Neurospora crassa OR74A: one gene and its partners. The protein of the gene in region 1 purifies or fractionates together with the protein of each later gene. This does not show direct contact. Links are inferred from orthologs where the notes say so. Each region holds a gene or a part of one and is shown on either strand. Other genes may lie near its edges.

Evidence for each region.
Region 2: the proteins of NCU06149 (region 1) and NCU01601 purify together in Saccharomyces cerevisiae (affinity purification with mass spectrometry; 6 studies listed by BioGRID, with this or other methods). This does not show direct contact. The link is inferred for Neurospora crassa OR74A from reciprocal best matches to the Saccharomyces cerevisiae genes DHH1 and LSM1.
Region 3: the proteins of NCU06149 (region 1) and NCU02533 purify together in Saccharomyces cerevisiae (affinity purification with mass spectrometry; 3 studies listed by BioGRID). This does not show direct contact. The link is inferred for Neurospora crassa OR74A from reciprocal best matches to the Saccharomyces cerevisiae genes DHH1 and RPC40.

What each region holds. Positions count from the first base shown.
Region 1 is NC_026507.1:1,628,970-1,633,286, forward strand, and holds the start of NCU06149 (ATP-dependent RNA helicase dhh-1), read left to right. Parts: upstream 1-1,445; 5' UTR 1,446-2,154; coding exon 2,155-2,198; intron 2,199-2,252; coding exon 2,253-3,918; 3' UTR 3,919-4,317. UniProt on the Saccharomyces cerevisiae protein: ATP-dependent RNA helicase involved in mRNA turnover, and more specifically in mRNA decapping by activating the decapping enzyme DCP1.
Region 2 is NC_026502.1:2,980,914-2,984,342, reverse strand, and holds NCU01601 (hypothetical protein), read left to right. Parts: upstream 1-1,525; 5' UTR 1,526-1,789; coding exon 1,790-1,967; intron 1,968-2,041; coding exon 2,042-2,110; intron 2,111-2,235; coding exon 2,236-2,555; 3' UTR 2,556-2,859; downstream 2,860-3,429. Other genes in the region: NCU01599 (hypothetical protein), read right to left, coding at 1-162, 234-656. UniProt on the Saccharomyces cerevisiae protein: Component of the cytoplasmic LSM1-LSM7 complex which is involved in mRNA degradation by activating the decapping step.
Region 3 is NC_026501.1:2,645,741-2,649,242, forward strand, and holds NCU02533 (DNA-directed RNA polymerase I and III polypeptide), read right to left. Parts: upstream 2,297-3,502; 5' UTR 2,188-2,296; coding exon 2,110-2,187; intron 2,019-2,109; coding exon 960-2,018; 3' UTR 600-959; downstream 1-599. Other genes in the region: NCU02532 (NEDD8-activating enzyme E1 catalytic subunit), read left to right, coding at 1-388; nuo49 (NADH:ubiquinone oxidoreductase 49kD subunit), read left to right, coding at 3,419-3,502. UniProt on the Saccharomyces cerevisiae protein: DNA-dependent RNA polymerases catalyze the transcription of DNA into RNA using the four ribonucleoside triphosphates as substrates.

The DNA of each region.
Region 1 (4,317 bases):
CAAAAAAAACGAACGTTTCTTTTTTACCCGCAAAAAGGGCCAAAACTCAACTTCTTCTACTCTTAATTTCTCAACGTGGTTTATTGCAAAACTCACTCCACGTTCTAAATAGAGATAACTTTAAGAGGAGATACTAATGCAAGTTGTCCGAAAAGATACACTCGAACGGGGGGCAAAAGCGTAAGTACTAAAGTCACTTTCCGAAAAGTATCTCAGATTCTATCCACTATAATGCACTCTAAATGCACTATAACCAAAAATCCTTTTCAAACTCTCATTTGAACAATTGTGATTACACTACTAAACCAATGAAGTCAATTTCATTTATATATCTGGGGAGTATAACTATTTAACTCTGTCCTCCTTTAGTGCATCTGCTTTTGAAAGGTAGTTGGCATGAAAACTAGGGAGTGATAGAGTTGAGTTTTGGCCCTTTTTGCGGGTAAAAAAGAAACGTGTTTTATTTTTGGTCCGGGACTGTACCCTTAAGGGGGGGCTAGCCTTTTTACAGTAAAGCTGGCGCCCAACTGCAAGCCATCTGCAAGCCCACTGTAGCCTCTGGGCGCTCAGAGTGGGTATGTGAACGTGGCTACACCTGGCACAAGGTGTGTGCAGGAGGCTGTCAGCTGTAGGGCGCTCGCTTACAAACCTAGATCGGGTAAGGTGGCCCGCCGAGCCCGCTAAAGGGGGAGCTAAGGGGTATCCAAATCGAATTGAAAAAAGCGGTACTACTAGACTTAGTCGAATGTACCTCTCTGTAGGTACCTATGTACATACTTGACACTGGGCACGCAAGACGGCAGTGAAGAGACGGGCATGATGTACACATTCATGGATCTGACCGTGCTGGAAAATATCGAACTGTTTTCCAATTGTCAAACTTTTTGTCAACTTTGATCATTACTTTGTCCAATTTCGGCTACCTACGTAACAAAGCCCAGAAGGACGTCCATGGACGGGATGTCGCCCGCGATATCCCACCAGTGCGCCGGATGACGTCGATATATACAATGTAGAGGTACGCTAGGTACACTGGGCCACCACCAGAACTACTATGCAGTGTACACTACCCAGGCCAACAGAGAGGAGGCACAGGCAGCGGTCATAGTGTAGGTACACTAGTAGAGGTATAAACCGAATTGCCCCTGAAGTGGGACTGGAAGGCGATGCCGCGGCCGACTTGTGGCCTATGAGTGGCGCCCCCCGCCGCCTTCCATTATGAGACGAGATACACTACACTACGCAGGTATGGAAATGGAGGTCCCGTTCGGTCCCGTCGTGGTGGACACGCTGCTGATTGTGCGATACACAACTGGACTGGAAGGCGCAGGCAGGGTTCGGCAGGGAACATCAAGGGAACACGTGATCCGAGACCCTTTCGGCAGTGGAGTGAACAGTTTTGACGAGGAGAGGAGACTGGACCTGGGACCTGGACGCTCCGGCTCCTTCGTCCACTCACTCGCCCAGTCCTAAACAGCACTGAATCATTCACGACTTCCGCACCGCCTCGCCTCGTCCAAGCTTCGGAAGTTTCCCTCAAACTCTCTGCCTTTCTGCCCCGCTTTCAGACGACGACCACCACCACCACCACAACAACGACAACACTTCAATCACAACAGAACAGAAACACTTTGAGCTCGCTGCAAAGCACCATCTCGTCCCACTCTCCCAACGGCATCGCACACGTCGCTTTGATTCGCCCTTCAGTTTTCACAGGCCAATCAAGTCCCAGCCGTCGACCCCGAATCGGATTCCTCGCAGCCTCTCCCACAAAAGACGTCGCTTGACTTCGAGGCATACAGGCAAAATCAAACGACTGAGAACGTCCTTGGTGCTCCCACACGCAACGAGCCTCCTCGCGACCCCATCCCCATCCACCGCCGTCTCATCTTTGCCCCACGACCGCTCGCGACAGGCCTCCGCCTCCGCCTACAAAGCTACATCTGTCTGGCTCTGCTCACCGTCAACAGACCGAAAAACAAAAGAGAAAGAGGGGATTCCCACCCACAACTAGTGCTCCTCTCCCCTTGTCAACCACTTGTCCATTTCGCTACACACACCCGGAGACGAAGCCATCGCGCTCTACGCTCTCCTTTCTGCAACATCTGAGCCTCGACCACGGGTTCCACAACCGAACAACGACCATCCGGCAAAATGTCCGACCAACTAGCGGATCAGTTGAAAGCTACTAGTCTGAGGTAGGTTGACCGCCTTCCCTTCTGTCCCAAACCCAGCTGACATGTTTTTGATAGCTCAGGCCCGGAAGACTGGAAAAAGGGACTTAACCTACCTGCCAGGGACACAAGACAACAGACCGAGGATGTTACAAACACGAGGGGTCTGGATTGGGAAGACTTCATACACGACAGGGATCTCTTGATGGGCATTTTCGAGGCTGGCTTCGAGAAACCGTCCCCGATTCAGGAAGAAGCGATCCCCGTTGCCCTCACCGGCCGAGACATCCTCGCACGCGCAAAGAACGGCACCGGCAAGACCGCCGCTTTCGTCATTCCCGCCCTCAACAAGATCAACCCTAAGGTCTCCAAGATCCAATGCCTTATTCTCGTTCCCACCCGTGAGCTTGCCATGCAGACATCCCAAGTCTGCAAGACGCTCGGCAAGCATCTCGGCATCAACGTCATGGTGACAACCGGCGGAACTGGCCTGCGGGACGACATTGTGCGTCTGCAGGACCCCGTACACATCGTCGTCGGAACACCAGGTCGTATCCTCGATCTAGCTGGCAAGCAGGTGGCCGATCTCAGCGAGTGCCCAATGTTCATTATGGACGAGGCTGATAAGCTCCTGTCGCAAGAGTTTACCCCCGTCATTGAGCAGCTCCTGCAGTTCCACCCCAAGGATCGTCAGGTCATGCTGTTCTCCGCCACTTTCCCTCTTTCGGTCAAGGATTTCTCGGACAAGAACATGACTAGCCCGTACGAGATCAACCTCATGGACGAGCTTACGCTCCGCGGTATCACTCAATACTATGCCTTTGTTGAGGAGAAGCAAAAGGTTCACTGCCTCAACACTCTGTTTTCCAAGCTGCAGATCAACCAGTCCATCATTTTCTGCAACTCTACCAACCGCGTCGAACTGCTTGCCAAAAAGATCACTGAGCTTGGATACTCGTGCTTCTACAGTCATGCCAAAATGGCTCAGCAGGCGAGAAACCGTGTCTTCCACGACTTCCGCAACGGTGTTTGCCGCAACCTGGTCTGCTCGGATCTCCTCACCCGCGGTATTGACATTCAGGCAGTGAACGTTGTCATCAACTTCGATTTCCCCAAGAACGCCGAGACGTACCTCCACCGTATTGGTCGTTCTGGTCGTTATGGTCACCTTGGTCTTGCTATTAACTTGATCAATTGGGATGACAGATTCAACCTTTACAACATTGAGCGCGATCTTGGTACAGAGATCCAGCCCATTCCTCAGACCATTGACAAGAGCCTCTACGTGTACGAGAACCCTGAATCGATTCCCCGGCCCATCTCGACCTTCAAGCCTATTGCCCAGCAGCCGCAACAGCAATTGCAGCAATCGCAAAGGCCTCAACAGTCTCAACAGCAACAGCATTTCTCAACACAGACACAGCCGTCAAACCAGCTCCCGCCTCAACAGGGCAACCAACAACTTGGCTTCAATCCTCAAGCTCAACAGCCTCACAGACCCATCCCCCAGGCCCAGGGTGATTGGCAAGGGCAAAACGGTCGCCAAAATGGCACAGGTGCTTCCAACAACCAACCCAGACCCACCAACTACCAGAACAATCGCGGGCAGCCCGGTAGCAGCCGCGGAGGTCGTGGACGTGGTTTCCAGGGCCAGGGAGGCCGTCAGAACCAGAACTACGGTGGTCAGCGCGGTCCTCGTACCCAAGGTCAGGGCCAGCCTCAGGGTCCACTGTCTGCCCAGTAGGGTAAACTCTCCCAACAAGTTTTGGAAGGAGGGGGATATGTGGTAATGTGAGGAGGTGTGCGACCATGCATCGCTTCCACGTTGTTTTGTCTTTGAATTGTACATATTAGTCGTCCTTTTTTTTCGGCCATCTCTTTCTGTTCCTCCCGAACTGTGAATGGGCTACCATGACGGCAAGTGTTGTCCCTCGGCCTGTCAGGTTTGCGTTTACGCTACGGCAGACTCGTCTATCACACTCTTTCTGCCGACCCTGCAAACAGTTCAACGACATGCACGGAACTGTACTACGACACATTCTCTTTTGGAGTTTGCCCCATTTCAAGGATTTTTCGATACGGTCCAGCTTCATCCTGTTCGCATTCACGGCTTACAACGCTTCGGCATGGGCGCGGAGTCTTG
Region 2 (3,429 bases), on another chromosome or scaffold:
GAGGGCCTCCTTCTCCTTGTTGAGCCGGTATTTTTTCGAAGTGATGATGTTGATCAGTCGGTCGCGGAGGGTCGAGGCAAGCGCCTTGTGTTCTCTGTTCGCAAGCTCCGTCTTATAGGCATGCGTATTGAGGTATTCGGCGATCTTCTTCTCGTAGTCAAACTGCGGAACCAAGAGTCAGCATTGGCACTTTGACTGGCGGAGCGTTGAACGGTTATGATCGGGAGACGTACTTTAAATTTGGTGAGAGCATAATCGCGTTGCTCTGCAAGATCCTGTACGTTCTCCATCCACTTGGCAAATTTGGGGCCAGCCATGTCAAGGAGGGATCGTGGACCACCGTCGGAGTCGGCGCCATTGAGCTGGTTGAGTCGTCTCTGATCCTCTTCGAAGCTGTCCAAAGGTCGATCGACATAGGGGTCGACTCGCATGACCAGACTGGTGTCAATCTGAATCTTTTGTAGTTGTTCGCGAAAGGCCTGGTCTCTGTCCTTGCTCCATTTGTCGGAAAGGGTTGCAATGCGTTCGGCAAGCATTTGGCGTCGCTTGTCTCTCTTAGACTGTGACTGTGACTGACCGGGAGGAGGAGAAGCGTTGGAGCGGCGATCAGGCCGCCCGGAAGGTGCGTCGGCCATGGTAACGTCGGTAGAAGCCATGGCGAAAGGGGGGTCCTCGTAAATATGTTTCTTGGTTGCCTGCTTTTTTATTGTATCCGGACCAGGTAAGACCAGGCGAGGCAAACCTCAAGGCGAGGCTGGTGGGCGGAAAAAAGAGAGCCCCAGTGCAGAGATTTGAGGCTAGAGGACGAGTAAGTCAAAGTCGACTGGACGACGGGAAGAGAGCTGCCCTCGTCCGCCGATGGACGGGCGCGCAGAATGGTTACAGCGCAAGGGCGAGAGAAAAGGAACGGCTTCTGGTGGTCGAAGCGGGTTTGGACATAGTCCTCATGGGATCTTTTGTGTATAATTGTCGACAGCGAGGGTACGTATGGTGCAGATGGAGAAATATGGAGTGGCAGAATGAAATGGGGTTGACAGCAGGTTGAGCCGAAGCAGAAGGACCGGAGAATGCAGTGCGGCACTACCTAGGTAGGTACAGGCAAACCAGCACAGGGAGGTCAGTGCAGGTCCCGTCGGCTCATTGTCCGGCCACCGGGTTGAATAATACTGTAGGTTGCTGCACAGCGCTTGGTTTCACCTTGCCCTGGCAGTGTTTACTGACTAGACATACAGTCCGGTGATCATGGAAGCTCCACCGCACAGGCGCTGTACCTAAGCGAGAGCAGTCTGCCGCAGGAAGCAGCGATAGGTTTGTATGAGCCGAGCTGATTGCTGAAGTGGATAAAGCTGAGATTCGCTCCGTCTTGTGGCTCAACCTGCGATGTGGCTGACTTGTATCATGTACATATACGCAAATTGCCTGCCGGAAGGAAGCTGGAATCATCCACTAAAAGCTTATGGCAGGAGCCGTGTAAGTAGAGTGGTAAAAAGATCTGTGCGACTCGGGCTGTCCTTCAAGGAACACACTTCTCGTCGCTGCCTCTCACCGTGAAAGTGGGGTGAACTGCACAAACAGCGGAGCAAGCCCAGGGCAGCCCAGGGCAGCAGCTATGTACTAAGGTAGGTATGTACGCAGTAGGTAGGTAGTAGTATGTGCGGGCAGGCAACGTCAGGGCGGGCAGCTGTCCCATCGCATCATTGCATCCCGCTTCCCATTCAACAACCTTGAAGACACCCCCCGAAACTTTACAGATGGACTAGAAGACATAGGCCATCTTCAGCACACAACCATGGAACACCTCTCGATAAACGATCAACCCCCACCGCCGCCCTTCCCTCAGGGCCCCGGCCAGCCTGGACCCGGCATGCCCCCGCCGGGACTCCTAGGAGGCGGCCGTCCTCCCCAGCCCCAGCAGTTGCCCGCGCAAATGTTCACCACAGCTGCCCAACTCCTCGACCTGACCGATAGTAAGAAGCAATATTGTGGACATATCTTTTGGACGGGAGGAACTAGGCTGACACGAGCGGCGGGGTACCAACAGAGAAGCTAATGGTAGCATTGCGCGACGGACGAAAGCTCACGGGCATCCTCCGCAGTTGGGATCAGTTTGGTATGCCTCCATGAACCTACCTCTCTCTTACAACACATGACCACCTATACACGCACGCACGAACGAGCACGAGTATGAAGAGGTAGCTGTGTTAACGCGAATCCACTTTTTTCCCACCATACTAGCCAACCTAGTACTACAACAGACAAAGGAGAGGATATTCGTGCCTCCAGGCACGCAGTCACCCACCCAGACCAGGGGGCTCTACGCCGACGTCGACCGGGGCCTCTTCGTTGTTCGCGGCGAGAACGTTCTCCTCATGGGCGAGATCGACCTTGACCGCGACGACGACCCGCCCCCGGGCTACGACCCTGCCGACCTCGAACTGGTGCAGACACTAGCCAAGCAGAAAAAGGCCGAGGAGAAGGCCAAGGAGAAGCGCAAGATCAAGAAGCTTTCCACCATTGGCTTCGAAGGGGAGAACGTAGGCGAGGCGCTTCTGTGAATGATATATGAATCACCCTCAAATTTTACAAATGGGACGGAAAGAAAGAGACGGGAGGAGAGACGACCAAAACTTTAACTTGTTATGATTTATACCTACATACCCCTGAAGTGGAAAGGGAGTGTCGAAGGAGGGAATGGCATGAGCGATTGGAAGCAGAATATTGTGAAATGCTATCCACTCAGCTGCGACTTCATACGAATGGAAGACCGCATGAAGCCTTACACCAAGGTCGGCCCAAGAAGACACCAAGTGTATTTTACCGTTAGAAAATTAGCAATTCGATGGATTGCCTCGAATCGAACCTGGCCACTACTGACTATGATCATGTTGGGAAAGGATAGCCCAGAGAGATATCCACGACTAACATTCTTTCCTAGGACTAGTCACATAGCCGGCACAAACCCATCGACTTCAACATCCTCCCACCCACCCGCCATCATCGATAACTACGCCGAGCTCGGGAAATGAGGCGTTGGCACTCATGACCAACCAACCGATTACCCAGCATCATCAAACTGAAAGATGATATGCAGCAAGTACTCAACCACCTGCTGCGGGGGTTGCGTTCCACATGCCAACAAAGGGGGGGTTGAACTTGTTTCGGTCGGAATAGGGAAATCCAATGTACCTCACGTTGATCCACTGAGGGTTCTGTATAAGCCGCTGGGAGATGTCGTTGTGGGCTGGGTTGGGCTGGCTGTAGGCCATCACTAGGTCTTTCGTAAGTCCACCACTATAAATCTGTGAAGTCGTCCATGAATGTATGGTTGGGCGTGGTGGGTAAACTGAAGTTGTACCAGCCCCATGTCGAGGGCGTGGCGTAGGGCTTGAAGGTCTGCAAACGCAAGAAAGAAGAAGGAGGGTAAGATGC
Region 3 (3,502 bases), on another chromosome or scaffold:
TTTGGGCACCCCCGGCGAAGGCGAGCCTAATTATATGATGTATTCCGGCAACGACAGCATTTACACGTATACGTTTAAGCACGAGCAAAAGGAGGACTGCCCCGTGTGCGGCATGACGGCAAGGGTGCTCAAGGTCAACCCCAAGTGGACACTCGAAGAGCTCATAGAGTCGTTTGCTACCCTTCCTGAGGCGCAACTGAAGAAGCCGTCGGTGCGGGCTGAGGGCAAGACGCTGTACATGCAGTTGCCCCCGAACTTGGAGGAGCAGACGCGGCCAAACTTGGAGAAGACACTTGAGCAGCTTGGGCTGACGGAAGGTACTGAGCTCGCCGTTACTGATCCAGCGTTTGTAGGCGTGGTGTTCAACTTCAGCCTCAAGTTTGCATGATGGTCCCCAGACATGAACGTGTCATGATGGCCTGGCCTGGTTTGCCTGGACTTTGTTCATGCTATTTAGGGACTAGATTTGTAAATTACCTACGAGCGGGAGCGTTGCACAACAAGCAGCGGGGAATGACCCGCAAGATGGCTATAGCGATGAGTTAACTTCCTTTGCAATTAATTAGATGTGAATACAAGATATGATTAACAATGTGCTTCAACAATATGCTACGCAGTACGTAACCAAAAGACATCATGTCAAATGAGGGGTACTGTGTTTATGCAAGACAGTGTGGTTCATGACTCATGTGCACCGACATGTCTATGATAATTAACAAGCAGAAACCATTAAACTAAAGCTGGCCACCAATCCCTAGCCTCCATGACGCCGTTCCAATGTTCTTTTATATGGTTACAAGAGAGATGGGTATCCTCACGACCTAATCCGTGTGATTTTTCCTCTTTCCCTGTGTGATTCCACATCATGATCGCTCAAATTCTGTCTCAACCACCGTACATAGAAATAACCTCACCTCTTCTTCGTGCTATTTTGAATCCTCCTACCCCTGGTACAATGTTTACTGTACCATGTTCACCACCTGCTTCTCGAACCTCTTCGCCTTCTCCTTGAGGTGGGCAATCGATTCGAGGAAGATGGCGTCGCTTTCCCACTGCCCCGTGCTCTCCACCAGGTAAATGAAGTGATCCCTCCTTCGGCCCAGCTTGACCTTGTCCTTGAACTCGTCATGGCGCAAGCACTCTCTGCTGACGGTGTCACGCATGGCGTCCAGGACCACGGCCTTGAGCTCGCCCTCATGGCCCTCGTATCCGCTGCCCTTCTTCTTCGCCTCCTCCTTGGTGACCTTTTCCAGCCCGATGACGCCCTCGGGGAAGCACTTCTGGAATTTCTCGGCGTCGCGGCCTAGGATCGGCTCGAGAATGGTGATGGTCGGCATGAGGCGGTACGAGGCCGTGGCGACGGGGGAGAACTTGGCGTGATCGGACCCGACGCCCTTGTGCATGTGCATCGTCAGATCGATCTCCTGTCCCGGCCGCATCTTGGCGACGAGGATGTCAGGGTTCGTGGGCCGGATGGCGTTCTCGCCCGAGAAGTACTTGGCTTGCCGGCCCTTGGGCACGAACTTGATGTCCTTAGCGTAAACATGGGCGTTGTGGTAGAGCTCCTTGGGGTCCTTGCTGTCTGCCGGCGCGCTCTCGTTGTTCTCGCACTTGACCTTGAGCTCGAGCTCGACCGTGTTGTAGTCGCACGGGGTCTCGCCCTTCTTGTACCACTTGAGGAAGTTATGGAGGCCTTCCTTGCCGCCGGTGAACGGGATCAGGCCCAGGCGGTGGCCAAGAACTTCGTCCTGGATCACGGAGGTGTTGTTCCACATGAAAATGTCCTCAATGGCCAGCGTGGGGATGTCGGCAATCATGATACGGCGGAAGGCATTGGCGATAGAGGCGTCGACGCCAATGAGCGAGAATTGAGCCTCATAAGGGTCGTTCTGGTGGAACACTACGCGGACACTTTCGCGGAACTTTTCGATATCCCAGGAATGATCCTCGCCGGGGTAGAAGCCGGGAAAGTCGGTGGATGTGACATTGGTGACAGTTTCGGCGTTGATATGGACAGTCTGCAGAAGAAAAATGCCATCAGTTTCCGCGTTGCATGCGCTGCGCAGCCTCGACTGATGATGATGGGCGGCAAGCCAGTGATTGACGTACGTTACGCTTCTCAACCTCTTCTGGGCTCGGGACCTTTGTCCTGACGGGCACGGCGGTCTGCTTCTTTGAGGATCCCATTGCGACGATATGTGTAAATAATGCTCTAGGTTGGCGGGGTTACCCTCTCGCTTTCACACGCAGGTCGGCACGCCGGGCAAAATCTTGGGAAAGAGAGCTCTGCGCTGTGCGACGGGCGATGGAGCGGCAGAATTTTTCCCACGAACGGGAACTTTTTGACCGCCTTCGCGGGAATGCGGTTGATTGGTTGGCTGAGATCTTATCGTGCTGCAGGCAGTGGCGGAGAGGTTCAGGGACTGCCTGGCTCAACTTGATGCTCATGGGCCTCGGCGGAGACAATTGTGGACAGGACCGCAATGACTGGGACAAGGCCAACAGGGTACATGGCGGGCCATAACCTCTGTCAGGTTACCGTCGACTTCGACCATCGACGAAACCTGAGGCGAAGAGAGAACGCTAGATCTTCACTTGCAAAGGGCTGCGCAGGTATGATGGGAGATACTTCAACTACCTAGATATACTTGCATGTCGGGAGTATCAATTCCAAATCCACAATTTTGTAGCTTCGGCGAGGGAAAGACATCGGGGCTTCATATTCCATGTCCACATCGAGGTTTGTCGCGAGTAAGTGACATGTTGACTAACTCCACTCTTAACTCCAGCACATCTTGGAATCTCTGTGGTCATTGTTATAAGTGTGGACATGCTCTTCCATCCTCCTCTTCCTTTCTGCGAAAACCTCTCCCTAAAATGCCCAAATTCCGACTTACACTGCCTCGAGACTGCCTGGCGAAGGACCGAGGCTTCTACAACCAGCCAATCAGATGGCATATAGCGCGGCTGCCCTCCATGGGACCGCTTGGCGGCACGGCTGCCGGATAAACGCCTTGGCCGGCAACAGTCGAGACGGGAGCTTGCCCGCCGTGGGGGGAACGTTGTACCAGAAGAAGCTTGGTCTCTGACTGCTCAACTGATGGCCTTTGATTGGGTTGAAATTCACTGACCAACTGACGGCAACGATTTGAGGAGTTCGAAGCTGGGGCGTTGCTGCGGCCGTGGTCAGGGAAAGTCGACTGGACGTCAACTGAAGCATCTCCACCACCACCTTATTACTGCTATCACTAGAAATCGCAAGCTCACTGCGAGCCATTGAACCGCCGGAGAAGAGGCCACATCCAGCGGCGAACCTCCTCCCCTTTGTCCTCCGTCGCTGTCAATCCTGCGAATCTATCCATCTCCGTTCCCTGACCTTCTGAGCGACCCAAAGCAAGCGGCAGTCCCACAAACAACAATGGCGACGACGTTGTTCCGACTCGCTGGGCGCAATGCCAAGCGCCATTGTATGCGCCAGAGCACCACCATCGCTCACAACCTC